2 linked regions of the Coturnix japonica genome follow. The protein of the gene in region 2 interacts with the protein of the main gene of each other region in a pairwise test. Links are inferred from orthologs where the notes say so. Each region holds a gene or a part of one and is shown on either strand. Other genes may lie near its edges.

Region 1 (7,840 bases), on a different chromosome or scaffold from region 2:
ACTTATTGGGTAAATGTCAGATAGCACACTATCCCATGGCTGCATTTTTAAACACTTAAAAACTGCTTCTCAGAGCTTGTAGAGAATCCATTACAAGCTAGCACTGCTGTCAAGAAGAGTACAGTAACTCTGCAGTGTATTTTCTTTGGTCTCACACCTATTCCTCCTTAGCCACTTCCATATAGGATAGCGCATGTTGGTCTGATGGAATAAAGAAGCTTTTTACACAGGCTGAATTCAGCAGCACTGATGCAATCCTGAAAGAGTCCTAAAGATTCTTGTTGAGTCTCTGGAGAGAAGCTCATGTTTACTGAGAGCCACTACTCTCTGGATTCCAACAATGAGGAGGAGGTCACCACAGGCACAGTAAGACTGGCTCTATTACTTTCATTTTTAAAGATCATAGGTCCAGCATTTCCAGCCTCTCTTTGCATTAATCCAAACACATAAAAAATTAAGTTAATCTTTGGCTGCTAATGATAAACTCTCTATTAGCCACTCTTTGTATAGTTCATTTCCCAGGATCTCATAATTGGGGGAAGGCTGAGGGAGTTGGGTTTGTTCAGCCTAGAGAAGAGAAGGTTGCGGGGTGACCTCATTGCAGCCTTTCAATACCTGAAGGGAACTTACTCCCAGGAGGGGAGTAAACTCTTCAAAAGGGCTGATAATAGCAGGACTAGGGGAAATGGTTTTAAGTTAAAAGAGGGAAGATTTAGGTTGGATGTTAGGGGGAAGTTCTTCACTAGGAGAGTGGTTAGGCCCTGGAACAGGCTGCCCAGGGAGGTTGTGGATGCCCCGTCCTTGGAGGTGTTCAAGACCAGGTTGGACGGGGCCCTGGGCAACCTGATCTAGTAAACGTGTATGTTTGGTGGCCCTGCCAGGCAGGGGGGTTGGAACTACATGATCCTTGAGGTCCCCTCCAACCCGGGTCATTCTGTGATTCTGTGTGATTCTGTGGGGAAAATACCCAATATTAGGCCCTACCTAAGGCTGTAAATAAACATTTTCCTGCACTTCATACACAGCAGCACACTGCTCCTCAGGAGAAACACTGAGAGAGCTCAAAGAAAATAAGTACACCTTACACTACCACCCTTCAAGCTCATTTCAAGGAGTAACTAAGATCACAAGAAAAGGATGAAAACTGAGTAATTACCAGGTTCTTCAGGAGTTCACATCCTAACCCTCCTGCTCCAATAACTAGTACTTTACACGTGCTTAAAAGAAATTCAAGAGCCTGTGGAAAATATAAAACAAACAAACAAACAATTAATACATCATATAGGAAAAGGTACCATTTGTCCTTTGTTTCATACACCTTACAATTGTGTCATCATAAATTTTCAGTGCACAATAAGCTTCATATAAAATAAGTTAGATCAATAACATAGTTTAAGCTTGCAGGAATAATTATACTTGGACTTTAATCAGTTGTTAAGTTCATGTAATTCCTGTATCTCTACTTAAAGGAAAGCGAGTCTGTTTGCTATCAGTATTCTCTTTGAATTAATTTGGCTGTGAAAAAAGAAAAGCAAGCTCCATTTTATTATTACTCAGTTTAAGGACACATTTCAGTTTAGTGTTTTTCCCCCAAGCAGCTTGCTTACATATAATACAAAATAAACAGATAGAAAACATTGCTGGCCACATAGTTTTTTTTCTATTAACTACATTATTAGACTCTATAGTCAAAGTAGCATATAATGGAATGGTACATTTAAAAGGTTAAACACATTCAACTTTAAGCTTTGAAACAAAAGGTACCAAAGCAATGAAAGGAGAAGAAAATTCAGAGAGGCAAAATTTTGCTTTTCCCTATGGAATATCCCAATTCTCCAAGTACTCATATTAAGTTTAATTTCTTAAGTACAAGGAATTCTTTACTGTGCCTAATTGTTTAAAAATCAATAGACTAACACTATTTTTCATGTGAAACTCAAAGATGGAGAATAATTATTACTGTGTATCATAGAATACATTTCTACACATGCCAGCAAGTTGACAGTTTACAATCTAGAAATAAAAGTATATGAAAAGAATATGACACACTCTTCTAATATAATCACATTCACCAATTGAAATACATGGTCTTCACATAGGTTTACTGTTCATATACTGCTGGTAGTCAATTAATGAAACCACTGACATTAGTTTCCAACACACAATACAGTTGTTTCTTAATTTAAAGTAATTGTTTCTCACTTGAGTGCCTGGCTCGAAATCAGGATGTGTGAACGGTCCAGATCGCTCGAGGAACTTCTTTACATGGTTCCAGCGACCTTCCCAGTCTCCAGAGTCCCCATACCCACCATCAACAGCCATTCTGCACAGAACACAGTAAATTCAGCTGCAAAACCATACAGAAATAGCCACACTTCTAAAACGTGCTCTTTTTTTTTCTTGTATAGGTTAAAAGTAAAACACTGATCAGCCATGCAAACGGATCCACATGTTTATGTTGATCACAAACACGTGTAAGCCCACATCTGCAGGAGTGGGCTTCATCAGTGGCCCCAGTAAGCAGTAATACAAACATGCAGCAGACAAAAACTGGCATTTCAATAAATCCCACTGATTTTGCTGCTACTAGTAAAAGTTGATCTGAAGAGAAACGAAAAGGGTGAGCTCTTTTCCCTTTTATTTCCCTCACATTTTAAGAGAGCATGTAAAAAGAGGCTGCCCTTTAGATTTTGAGGGTGCTGTTCCCTCAACAAAGTGAACAATCTTCACCTGCCATGAGTCCCATGTATTTAAGACACTCTCATTTTCCACCTGTCTCCTGAGCCTGTTAGTAGTTACTATCTAACTTGAAAAATAAACTTGCAGTTTTCTTCTTCTAAATTACAGATACAGAATTTTACACGAAGTATTCCCAGTACCTTTTGCAGGTCACTTTTAGTAGTACACAACTATAAAATTAAACTGTTAAAAGACTTACTAGAAAAGCTCAAAATCAGCTCACTTAAATAATTTCCTAATGTAACAGCACCTACAAGGAACAAGCCTTTCCTTAACACAGCACACCTCCCTTTTTAAGTATGAGCTCCACACATGAATACAAATGACTGTTTGCTCTATGTTAATACAAAACTAAGCTGGTTATAAATGAGCTTAGAAAGGTTGGATCATCATCGATAAGAAGCATTATTTGGTTCCTCCTATGAAGAAATATGAAGAAAGTCTATATCAATAATTGTTGATCAATGTTTAGAATGTATTACTTCCTTGGGTCACATCTAGACAGTGAATCTCTTGATCCTCACAGAATTCAGATGGAGACAGAACAGCGTCTGTGATGGCATTAACTTCTAGGTCATAGTTTTGCAAAAGGTTTTCAGTAATGGGAGAAAAAACTTAACTGAAAAACAACAATAAACATATTGGATTCTGCCTGTACTTTGACCGCTGATTGAACTCCATCCTGGTCAACTGTTGGCTTTACATAGGTTAACCTAGCAGTTAAATAAATTCTTCATAAGGAGCTTAAGTACATAGAGGATATTTTGATCTGTATCCTGTGTTTCCCACTTTGCATCAAAGTAAGATTTTAGGAAAGCAGGACAACATAAAACTCTTCCTCCACTGAATCACAGTCTCAGCTGTTTTAAAATAGGATGTTTATGAAACAATAACTTCTGCAAATGTAACATGGGTGATTATAAAGCACAATAATTGCTTGTATGGATTTTATCTTGTTCTGGAAAGAAGTGCAGAAGTTAAGTCTGGTGATACTACAAAGGATTCTTTAATCCTTCTTTTCAGGCAGTATAAACAGCCACCAAGCAGCTGTAGTTGTCTGTTTAGATGTTTATTTTTCTTTTTAGTGGTAAGATGGCAAGACCTCGTCTCAATTTTGCGAATATATTAGCTTGGTTTTTACAGAGTTGGACATTGTGGAGACCTGAAAAACACCAGCAACTCAACATGAGGTGTTACGTTTAGCTTTAGAGACACGTTTATTCTTGTGTTGTTACAGCACAACCAGGCATTCACATTATTAGAATTCAACAAAACTTGCATGTGTTTCAGTGAATTTTAGATCTTGTTCAAAACATCAGAGCACCACAACCCTTCTAGGCCCACACTTTTCCCTGCCACCTTCGCACACCCAAATGCTCCATGCTTGTGCAGGATGTGGCATGCACCCCACAACCCACATGCCTCGGGGTTTCTGTGACCCTCACCCCAGCACGGCTCTGGGAGCTTTGGGAAGAGGGCCACAAGGAGATGGAGGGGAACAGTCAAGGGATGGAAGCATATGAGGTCAGAGATTTCTGCATGTTAGTTTTTAAGGCTGAGCAGAATTTAGAGCTTTAAGAAGCAGAAGCAGCTGCTCTGTAGACTGAAATATTCACTTTGGGCTAGTTTTGAATCACCTGCTCCTAGCCTAGCAGCTCTGCCAAGTCCTGGCCAGCAGCAGCTCTCCCACTCCTGCCACAAAGCTCTCAGCACACCAGCCTTCATCATGCCAAGCTTCAAGCCCGCAACCCACCCCCTGCTGCGGGTGAGCCCCTCGGTCCTCTCCCCAGGAGATTCCTCTCCCCCAGTCCTTGCTGCTCAAGCGCCCTTTCACCTTCCCCTGGCTCTCTCTCACCCCCTCAATCTTTCTGCTCCCAGGACCCATCTCTGCGGCCTTCACAGCACAGCCCAACCTCTCTGCGGGGCTGCGGCTCCCCTCACTGCCAGCCGCCCTTCCACAAGCGCTGCCTGCTTCTATCTCTGTCCCTGTCTCTACCCTGGGCCGGGAGCCCACTCGCCCGCAGCCCCGCACTAACCCATCCGCCAGCAGCTCCTCTAGCCTCCTTCTTTTCTTCTCCCTAAAAGAGAGAGAATAAAAGAAGGGTCAGTATCGCGCTACACAGACCGGGGAGGAAGGAGAGGGGACCCCAGGGCCCACCCGTCCCCGGGAAGCGTGGGGAAGGGGCTGCCGAGCACGCACATACAAGGCACTTACGGTTCCTCACCATCCGCCATATTTTTTCCCTCTGCTTCCCACAGTGCCCCGCTCGCCGCCGGGCTCCTGCCATGCGCGGCGCCATCATGGGCGGTGCTATGGGGGCAGGGGGGGATGATTCCTTAGGGCTTCTGTGTGTGATACACAACATAGGGTAAAGGCAAACATAGAGATAGCTTTAGACATGCCTCCATCAGCCAGCTCTGTCGTGTCAGCTCCTCTCTCAAGTATTTTCTGTTGTCTTCCCATGGGAGCGCATAGAGCTGCACTGCACACAGGGGTCTGTCTATATGCAGAGCGAGGAGCGCTGCTGGAGCTGGGAGGTGGGAAACAGACCGTGCAGCGCTCATAGAGATCGTGATCATGGCCTCAGGCTCCTGAATGCACCCTGAGGAACGCGAATACTTCGTAGATTGAGAAGCTGCCACAAGCCCCAGACGTTACAGCCACACCTGCATCAGGCATGTGTGCTCAAGCCACGATAAATGAAGCGTAAAAACACTGAAAATGTCCTAACGTGAGAAGTTAGAATCATCACAGACACTGCGGTTGGAGGATGGAGGATTCGGGGTGCATCCACCTCAGTGTGACCCGAGGCTGTAGAAGCCCCACCAGCCTCATTGCCGGGGATGCAATCCGGATTCGGCGTGACATTTGTGTAGAACGAGCGAACAGAACGTACAACCGCCGGTGACGAAAGCACCGTACAGTGCCGGGTACGCGGAGATCTACGTGCCGGCCTCTCCTTTCCCATTTCCCCGCTGCCCGGAGCCGCCCCGGGGCGGTACCACGAAGCCCGAGGCCTGCGCGGCGGTGGGGCGGGGGCAGCAGCCATGGAGGTGCAGGTGGCTCCTCTGCGCTCCTGGGAGGATTTCTTCCCTGGTTCCGATCGTTTCGCCCGGCCCGATTTCAAGGACATCTCGAAATGGAACAACCGGGTTGTCAACAACCTGCTCTACTACCAGACCAACTACCTGATGGTGGCCGCCGCCGTCGTCGCCATCGTAGGGTCAGTGTGCGGGGGGGGCGGTGGGGCTGATACTCCCAAACGTACAGCCGCCCTTGCTTTGTGTTGGGTGGGGGCTGGCTTATTTAGAAGGTTATTTTGACGTGGTTTTTAATTCCTCTTGTGGCTGGGTGGCAAATCTGGGAGCTGCCTTTTGTTTCTCGGGGTGCCTGGCAGAAAGCAGCGGTGGGTGTGGGTGCCGGATGTCACTGTCTGCTCTGCGGCGATCGCTGCTTCCTGCCTTAGTCTGCCCAGTGTGGCTGTCAAGGGGAGATAAACTTCACTCTGAATTCCAACAAATGAGGAGATAAATTCTGCTCTCTGTTACATCTTTAAGCCTACGCTGAGGGGACAGAACAAGCCTTTCTTATTTCTGACCTAGTGCAGATTGAAAAGCCTTCAATATAAAATAAGCACGGTACCCATCCATCTTTGTGAGACCGAGACCTTCGTGTCTCATGTCAGCTGTAGATTCCCTAGGGAGAATTGGGAAAGAACCTAATCATTATTAGAATTAAAGCCTGTTTGACTCTTCTGTAAGTGCTGCTTTAAGATCAAGAAGCTCTTTGTCAGGAGTTGCAGCAGAGGCTGTGATGATTAAGCTTTTAAAATGGAAAATGAAATACGTTTCCTACGCTCGTCACCAAACAATGTGCAAATGCTTAAACCGGAGGATTGCCTGGCCACTAGGCCAAAGTGGTTATGGCAGAAGTATATTTTATCATATGTGTTGCAGAGGCTTAAGTTCTTCGCCCTATCCTTTTGTGTATGTGTGTGTGTGAGTGTGTGAAGCAATCTGTAACTTTTTAGGGCTGCTGACGTTATTGACCCAGTGTCTGAGTCAGTGAAGAATCTTTGGGATCAGGGAGTTTTGTCCCGTGCTTTGTGAAAGGAGAAGCTGAGAACCCTGCTTTTTCCCTATTTTTTGCTGCATATCAGCTAAGGGGCATGGGAGATTTTCTTCTGAATTTTGGTGGAGATCTGAGCCCTCTACTCAACCCAGCAGCAGATCATTAGACAAGTAAAAAGAGATTTCCAGACCCTTACTCTCTTTAGAGGGAGTCTAATCTTCTCTATCTACCTTCATTTAGTAGTGTGATTACCATAACCAGTTCTAAATAAGCAGGTAAATTAAAGCAACACTTGAAGGCAGGAGAACAACTCATCTACCCCAAAAAGCTGGGAGGAAAAAAAAAATGAACAATTTAGTTATCCTCAATTGGAAAATTGGAATGGTAGCAGCTTTTACTCCTACATTCCTTCCCCCTTTTATTCTCTGATCTCACATCAGATCAAGGGTGGTGATACATTACCATTTATTTCCCACCGTTTTGCTGAGGTGGTGGTAGGGAGGAGAGCCACAAAAGGCAGAGATTAATACCAGAATTGTAATTCTAATGTATTTATATTAAATAGTAACCTGCTATGTTGAAAATATACAGGCAAGAAAAACCTGGAGTGAATTTGTTTTATTGCACATTTTAGAGCCTTTTGTATGTGGCAGACCTGCTTCTTCAACACTGAAGAAGAATGGGAGAAGAACTCTAAAGGAAACAGGCTAGCACTTCAATAAAGAAAAGCTATCCATTTCTTTTTAATAAAAGATTTTTCTGTTGGCCGAGCTGTAGCTTTGGGAGAAAAGCCAAGAAAGGTGTCCCAATTAAATTTACATTGATGTCTAAGATGCAATCTTGCACTTCACCCTCTAGTGGGCAGGAATCCTTGGGTGATAAGTGATGAATCATGGCTTTTTAGGAACTCCAGGACTGCATGTAGGCCTACAGGCAGGATTACTGAAACCAATAATGCAGTGGTCTCTGTGATCAAAACTAAACTTTGCCCATGACCAACTCTACCTGTTCTTAAGCCACCTTAATTAT
Region 2 (7,661 bases):
TTCAGCTGTCCCTATCTGCCCAGGGCTCTGACATTTAACCCCTCTGTATCACAAACCAATGCTCACCCAACCAAACGCTGCCACTCCCAATTGCCAGCAATCCAAAATGAAGCACAGGTGAGGAGCCCTGCTGCCGTATCCTTGAGGAGAAACACCACCTGGTTCTTTGAACAGCATCAAAAAGGGTGAAAGAAGACCTCCCAGCCCCTTTACCTCCCAGCCCGGCTGCCTGCAGGCACTACCTGCCTGCTCCTCTCCAAGCCCATGCTGCCAGTTGCAGCTAAAATAAAGATTTTTTATTATTATTATTTTAACACCCAGATCATGCAATCTATGTCCTAAAATAGCCAGGCCTGTTCTATTTCTGCTGCTGCCTTCAACAAGCACACACAGGGCAGCTGTGCTGGCATAGATGGGGTCCTGCTGGAGCAGGGAGATCTGGGTTGCGTTTTTCCATCTCTCCCCTTCCCCCAAATCTCATCACTGCTTCACACAAAGCACAGACAGCAAATGACTCACTGGAAAAAGCTTTTTCCCAGGGCTGGCTGGCACCAGAACATCTGAGTGTGTTGCACATTGTCTGCAGTCCAACCCTGCCTCCCATCCAGTGGCCTAAGCACCCATAAGGAAGGGGAGCGGTGGCCATCAGTTCCCAGAGCCTGAAATGAGACCTCTCCATCCTGCCCACTGTGTCACAGGGGTGCCCAGTAAAAAACTCCCCAGGAAGACAAAAGGTGCCACCAGCCTACGATGGCAGCAAAGATGATTTTTCTATCAGGGAGCTGCTGACACAGGCCAGTTCTGCACAGTGGATGGAGATGCCCAAATGAGGTCTTGGCCACCTGTATCACCCCTCTTGCAGCAGCATCCCTGGGCCAGGTGATGGCACACATCCACTACCTTCCCCCAGGGTGATGGGATGCCTGGAGCTCGGAGCTGGCTCTCCACATCTATATTCCAGCCTCTCCTCTCTTTTTGTTCTCATCTCTCTGCATTCACCGCCCTAAATGAAGTCCTCCGACTCACTTGGCACCCGCAGCCAAATATTCTACCAACGTATAATCACAGCTGCCAGCTTCGTGCTCATTGTGCTGCCACGTGGTTCCCTAATGCATGCCCAGCTCACCAAAGAATGGCTCTGGGCAGCAGGGAACACACCTGTCTGGTCCCTTCACCCCTATGTCACACCCAGGAACACACTATGGCATCTCTCTGACATCCAGCACTGCCCACAGCAGTTGCCTGATAACCAGCCCTAAGCATAGGGTAGAGAGAGGTGTTCCCCATCTGTGGGTTCATACAACTCCAGCAGTCCAGCAATTCCTTCTCCTCCTCCCCCTCCTCCTCTCTTCTTTCCTTCCCCTCCTCCCCTCCCACTCCTCCTCCCTCCCTTCCTCTCTTCCCCTTCCTCATCCTCCCTCTTCCCTCTCCTTCTTCCCCTCCTCCTACTCCTTCCTTCCTTCCTTCCCATCTCCTTCTTCCTCCTTCTTCTCTTCCTCCTCCTCCTCTTTCTCCCTCCCCCATAGAAGCCCAGCGAGCAGCACATCTCACCGACCACATCTGCAGCACTAACAGGGAAAAAAAAAGAAAAGCGAAAGAGAAAACAAACCGCCCCAAAACTCGGACACGGGGTCAGAGTTTACGTTACAAAAGGAAACAGATGCGCAGCTCTTAGGGAAGCAGAACAATAACAGCTCCTCATAGGGAGGGAGGGTGAGCACAGAGCCTAGAGTGGGACAGCGGGCTGTGATGTGATGCAGAACATGGGGGGCTCTTAATGTTAACAGTACCCTCGTATTTCAGTTATTCCTCTCTGTAGGAAAGAAGGAATCAATATTGCTCTCTTCATAGAGAACAGAAGGCTTCTCTTTTCCTGGGGAAGTGCACCGATTCCTGCAGGACGGCACAGAAGCCATGACTCAATTTACCCACTACAGCCTCCTTGTAGGGGAGAAGCAGAGAACAGGAGAGATGGCAGCCAAGCAGGTAGTTCTGGGTTCACACAGAGGACATCTCTGAGCTCAGTTCTGTAAACAAACATGGTCACGGACAGGATTATTTTGCAAAGCAAAGCGTTTGCAGTGCAGCCTCACCCAGGTATCACAGTGGACTCACCAGCCTGCACCTGGTGCCTGTAACAGCTCAGTACATGAGCGTGTCATCAGCCCATCCTGTTGGAACTGTCCCTGCACCCAGACCCTTGGCTGGGTCACAGCTTGACTATTTCCATCACTTTTTTCCCCTCCAGGATCATCTCTCACTTGTTCCCTGCTCCTGGAACAGCCCAGGTGGGTCTGAGTGCACCACTGAGCAAAGGGAGGGCTGGGCTGTCTCCAGCCTCCAACCAGGCCCCATTGCCACTCATTTGGCTGGTACACACCACAACAACCACACGTTTTCATTTAAATACACGCTTCCTCTCAGGCTCGATTTAGGGAAATTTGTGATTTAGGGCAGAAAATAGAGTGATGTCACTGTGAATGCTGGCGATGGCAGCGAACCCTCAGCAGGCTGCATGTATTGAGAAGTGAATGCTGGAGACAGATCCCAGGGCTGGGGCTGTGGGGTGTAAGGAGCCAGGAGACGCCATCAGCTGCACTGATGCCTTCCCACCCTGATACGAGATGGAAACTATTTGTTCCTTCCAACCCCAGGACGCTTAGTGTATATTGGCTTATTGAGAAGCTTATCTAATATATTAAACCTCAAATTCTCTTCTTCCAAATTGTAATTGAATTCCTATTCCCAGCCAACACGAGGCAGAAGGGGGAAAAAAAATCACTTCAGCAATGAGAAATATCCTTAAGCATTTTCCAACATCATACACACCTGCAGCCCCCGGGCCCCTCCACCCCACACAAGGGCAGGACTTGGCAGAGAGGGGTTTCCCAGTCAGCCTCCAGCAGCAGCAGGGCTGGTTGTGGGGCAGGAACCAGGGCTTCCACCACCCTATAAACAATGTGTCCTATCATGATCCCTAGCCCACATCCATTAGGGTCACCATAAGCCAGCCGGGGCACGCACTGGGCTTGCTGAACAGCCAGAAGTTCAAAGCCTGATGCTATAAAAAGCACTAATTAAGTTTTGTGCAATGCTCATTCACACCAGTGCACTGACACCGAGGCACAATGATGCTGGGGACAGAAGCCAAGCAGGAGGGCAGCGATGGAGGAGGCAGTGATGACAGCCCTGCAGCCGGTGCTCAGCCTCGCACTGCACACAGACAGAACATCAGCTCTCAGAACCCACCTTTTCCTTTCCTAAAGGATTCCCTCCCCACAGCCCGGCACGAAGCTTCACCCTGATAGGGTTTTGTGCAGCAGGGACACGAAACCCCAAACACTGCTTGTAAGGGGACTGAAGCCTGGTGGATTCACGGCTCCTTTAGAAGCCACCGGAGGGAATGTTAAACTTGCTTGGAATGGTTGTGCAGAGCTGGACGTGTCAATTAGCAGCAAAACTTGTGTTCCCAGCCCCGATTTGTTCCCATCTGTAACACAAGCCCCACAGTGCCCAATGCTTCCTCCTCAGCTTCTGGAGTCTCGTGCTGGATGTAAAACCCAGGCGATCTGGTCCCAAAGGCCCAGACAGAGCAGACAAGAAGCACAGCCCCCAACTCACCTGCGCCCAGCCAACAGCCCGAGCTGTGAAGGATGAGTCAGGAACCTCCACAAAGGTTTCAAAGAAGCCGTAAGGAGTTCTTAGCGGAGCGACAAGGAGGCATTTTGCTGCTGCTTTCAGCCGTTTGGTCGCTCGGCTCCCTCCCAACAACGGCTACCACCAAATAAATCCACCTCTCCTGCTCCTCGCCCACCCCAGGACCGAACGGCTCCCACACAACGGGGCAGTGCGGAGCGTTCCCATCGCAGAACCACCACTGCCGGCAAACACCTCCGACATCAGCCGGCCGCACCACCACCGCTACGCCCCGTCCCGTCCCGTCCGCACTCACCGCACACCGCGGGCTCAGCTCCTCGCCATGGCCGCTGCCCGCCGTCTCTGTGGGGGTGCGGCCCGCAGCACCGCCCCCTCCTCCGCCCCCTCAGGCGGCCCCGCGCGCGGGGACCGAGCGGAGCCCGGTGAGGAGCCGCCGTGGGCGGGAATGGTCCGGCTCGGCCCCGAGCCCTTCGTGGGCCCCGCTGGGTTTTTGGGGCGGTGATAAAGACGAAATCACGTCGTAAAGGATCTAAAAACGCTCCAGGCTAACGGTGTGGGTGGGAAGGGATGCGGGGAGCCCTCAGCTTCCACCCCCGGAAACTTTGGGATTGGGCACGGAGGACTGGAGGCACAACGGGACGGACCGGCACTGACAGGATCAGGCTGGGACCGGGGGTGGGACGGGATCATCACGGGTAGAAAAGACCCCCGAGGTCTGCCAAGCAACAGCCCGCCTTCCAGCAGCTCTGCCCTCGTCCCTCAGCGCCTCCCTGGGCAGCCCGTCCCAACGTCCCACCACTCTTTTCCTAACACCCATCCTGATCTCATCCCTCATCGCAGCTCCTCGAAACGCTGAGATTTAACACAGCGACGTGTCAGGCCCGAAGCAGCCGATACAGCAAGCAGGGCTCTGCTGACACCTGGCGTCCTGCGCTCCCTCTAAGCAGCCACAATCGGGGCTGATGGATGCCGGTAATCGGGGATCTGGGGGTGAACCTGGAGCTGTAGGGGACCATGGAGCCTTCCCAGGCACTGTGTGATGCCTCAAGCCCAGGGCAGTGCTGCACTGATAGCCCTGAGTTTCCACCTCGCTCCCATTCCTGCCCTGCAGTTTGCTCTTTCCAGGGCAAACGCTGCTGTAAACAAAATTCCATGAGCTCACCGCAAGGATGAAATATTTGCAGCACAAACGCATAAGGAAAACATTATAATACAAGTTAATAAATAATGAGAACCACATAGCTGCAATGCAAGCTGTCGTTCCATGCAGACAAGGGGCAGCTGTGGTCGGTCTCATTGGCAGTACATCAAACTCAGTGCTTGGGATCTTCTCCCTTTGGTCTCCACAGGTCCAGCAGCCGCACGGCCAGGCTTTGGGATTCAGTGGTAGAGGCCTGAAGGATCCTTTCTGCAGTCCACACTGTGGTGTGTCAAGCTAACTTATCCCTCACATCACCTCAAAGACACAGCGGGCCATCCAAACGCCACCAAAACCCCGCAGAGCTGCACAGGAAAGCAGGCGTATCTTCTCACAATGAACAGTCACAGCTCTCTTACAAGCCTCAGTACTTTCAGTTTGCTCACTGAAATACATGGCAGTATCAGCCTACCCATATAATATCTCCATGCAAATACAGATCACTGCCCGACCATCACTGCTGGACAACCATTGATCCATCATTCACTTTACAATAACACAAAGGCTTTACCAGGAAACAGAAGCAGTTCTGCAGGAGGGAAAGCCTGCTATGAAGCAAACAACCTACATTACAGCCTTTAGAGCTATCTTACAAAGAGCTACACACAGTTTCCAAGCAGCTTGTTCCAGTGCATTCGTATCTGTGTCAACAGTTCACGGTTCTGTAAGAAAAAAAGACATCCTCTCCTGGAGGATGTTCATCCTTTGATTGGAACATCCTGGAGGTGTTGCAATCTTGATTAAAGATAATGAAGCATTCTGCTTGTTTTCTGGAAGTGTGATCAGATGCATCTCATCATCCCAAAACTAGCTGGAGAGTTGGTACAGTGAGAATGCTGCCTGCTCAGCAGCGGTTCTTCAGGCTTTTGGTTCACAATGAAAGCTCACCATAAACAAAACACACCTAAGTGCTCACATCTCATCCAGTGCAACGAAGGAAGACATAATCACAGGTTTTAACTGGAGGAATTCTGGTTTCCTGTGTTCTTCAGGATCCCTTTTAGTGCAATTCTTGAGGTCAATGGGAAACAGAGAGCAATTGCTATCAGGCGAGGCCTGTCCTTTGCTAACAGAAGGAGAAGCACAGTCTTGGGTCTTGGCTTGTCAAACTTTCAGCGAGGTCCTTGGGCACCGGGTTGTCCCACAGCCTGCAATGACAGCAAACACAGAATGCAGGACTTGGTGTGGTGGGCCAGGAGGTGGCACACCCAGCACAGCAGTTAAATGGAAGAAGCAGCTTTGGGTTCTTATCAAAGCTGGTCCGAAAGTGAGACAGGAGCAAAGCAGGGTCAAAGTTCAGCAACACAGCAGCAACTCAGCACACGCCTGCCTGCTAAGATGGGCTCAGTGATCGAGGTTGGGAGAGGCCTAAGCTTTGAAATGCCCTCAGGCCTTTTGTCCCAGGACTCTCTCTGATCCAGCAAACCCCCACTTTCCATGGCTTGTGCCTGGATGCCCTGCAGCATCCTAGTCCATGCAAGACAACCTGGGGCAGCAGGCCAGCACAAGTCACATCTCTCCTATGATGGGTCACCCCATTCTCCTAAATGGGCCAACACTCGGCCCCAGCCCTCAGTAACACCTTATGAACTCACCTTATGAACTGAATTTCTGGGCACCTGACAAGTTCCTCTGCCAACCTGGTAGCACCACGGGCACCAATGCGATTTTTCTCCAGGCTGTGTTAAAAAAAAAACAAAGAGTTTTAAAAAGCAAAACCAAATCAAGAGCAGAAAACAGCAGAACCATTGCTGCCTCTTTTCTCTTGTCTAAGAGCTACACTTTTGCACAAGCACAACCACGTTCCACAATGGACACCAGCCTCGTCTTGATGACCGCAGCCCTATTTATACAAGAAGCACGCACTGCTGCCCACAGCCTCCTTCTAGCAATAGGACTTGTAAGCTCTACTGCATGTTTTCCCTGCCCAAGACAAACAAAACTCAGATCCTGATCCCGTGAACCACAAACTATTATTTTTGTCCAGCTGAGGGATGGAAGGCACACACCACATGTTCCAAAGGGCCAAGGGGAGGGAAGCAGATGATGGTCCCTATCACCGAATAGTGCTGCACTGTGATGCCACTGGATCAGACCTGAATGTGTAACATTGAATCCAGCTCCAGCACAGGAGCAGCATCAGAACTTCCCATGTTCTCCCATGGCCCAAGGCCCACAGTTAGGCCACAACAGCCTGGGTTATGTATTTCTTGCCCTGCCACAGGCTGTCTGAGAAGGGTACTCATCTATCCAGACCACCCTAGGCACCAAAGAGAAGTAACAGACTGCAAGCAGCAGCTCACTTGAGACTGTTAGATGATATGGCTCGACCTCAAGGAATACCATTTTGTCTTTCCTGAAGCATAGGTCGGATAGCGTTTGCTTAGATACCCACAGCAAACACATCCAATTAAACAAGTCTGCCTCAGCACCTCTGTGCTCTATGCATCATCCAAGCAAGGCTGGCCTTTGGCAGCAGGCTAAGTAAGCATTCAGATGGCAGAAGCCTGTCCGCCTGCTGCTCCTACATTAATCCCACAGCAGTACTGCAGCTGAAGGCTCACTGCCACAAATACAAGTCTTCTGGTGCTACTCTCAGGGCTGTACTCACTCTAAGATCTTCAGTTTTTCCATCCCTGGGAGGATGCTGGCCAACGCTTGGGCTCCTCCATTACCAAGGGTGTTCCAAGACAATCTAAGACAGACAAGAAATTCCAGCCAGTGAGTGAGCCAAGCTCAGCTGAGGGCACTAAGTTCTGGCTTTTACTTAATGCCTGAGATACCTGTGATCTCCATTCCCACCCAT

The links.
Region 1: the proteins of CPNE2 (region 2) and UBA3 interact in binary tests that used the Homo sapiens proteins (3 or more experiments, as listed by UniProt). The two-hybrid records come from large-scale screens. The link is inferred for Coturnix japonica from reciprocal best matches to the Homo sapiens genes CPNE2 and UBA3.

The regions. Positions count from the first base shown.
Region 1 is NC_029527.1:12,738,448-12,746,287, forward strand, and holds the start of UBA3 (NEDD8-activating enzyme E1 catalytic subunit), read right to left. Parts: upstream 5,039-7,840; 5' UTR 4,975-5,038; coding exon 4,955-4,974; exon of another isoform or gene 4,942-4,954; coding exon of another isoform or gene 4,940-4,941; intron 4,818-4,939; coding exon 4,776-4,817; intron 2,324-4,775; coding exon 2,203-2,323; intron 1,238-2,202; coding exon 1,157-1,237; intron 1-1,156. Other genes in the region: ARL6IP5 (PRA1 family protein 3), read left to right, coding at 5,788-5,963. UniProt on the Homo sapiens protein: Catalytic subunit of the dimeric UBA3-NAE1 E1 enzyme. E1 activates NEDD8 by first adenylating its C-terminal glycine residue with ATP, thereafter linking this residue to the side chain of the catalytic cysteine, yielding a NEDD8-UBA3 thioester and free AMP.
Region 2 is NC_029526.1:1,812,733-1,820,393, forward strand, and holds the start of CPNE2 (copine-2), read right to left. Parts: upstream 4,352-7,661; 5' UTR 3,953-4,351; intron 3,894-3,952; exon of another isoform or gene 3,622-3,893; intron 85-3,621; exon of another isoform or gene 67-84; intron 1-66. Other genes in the region: protein NLRC5, read right to left, coding at 5,922-6,003, 6,451-6,534, 7,467-7,550.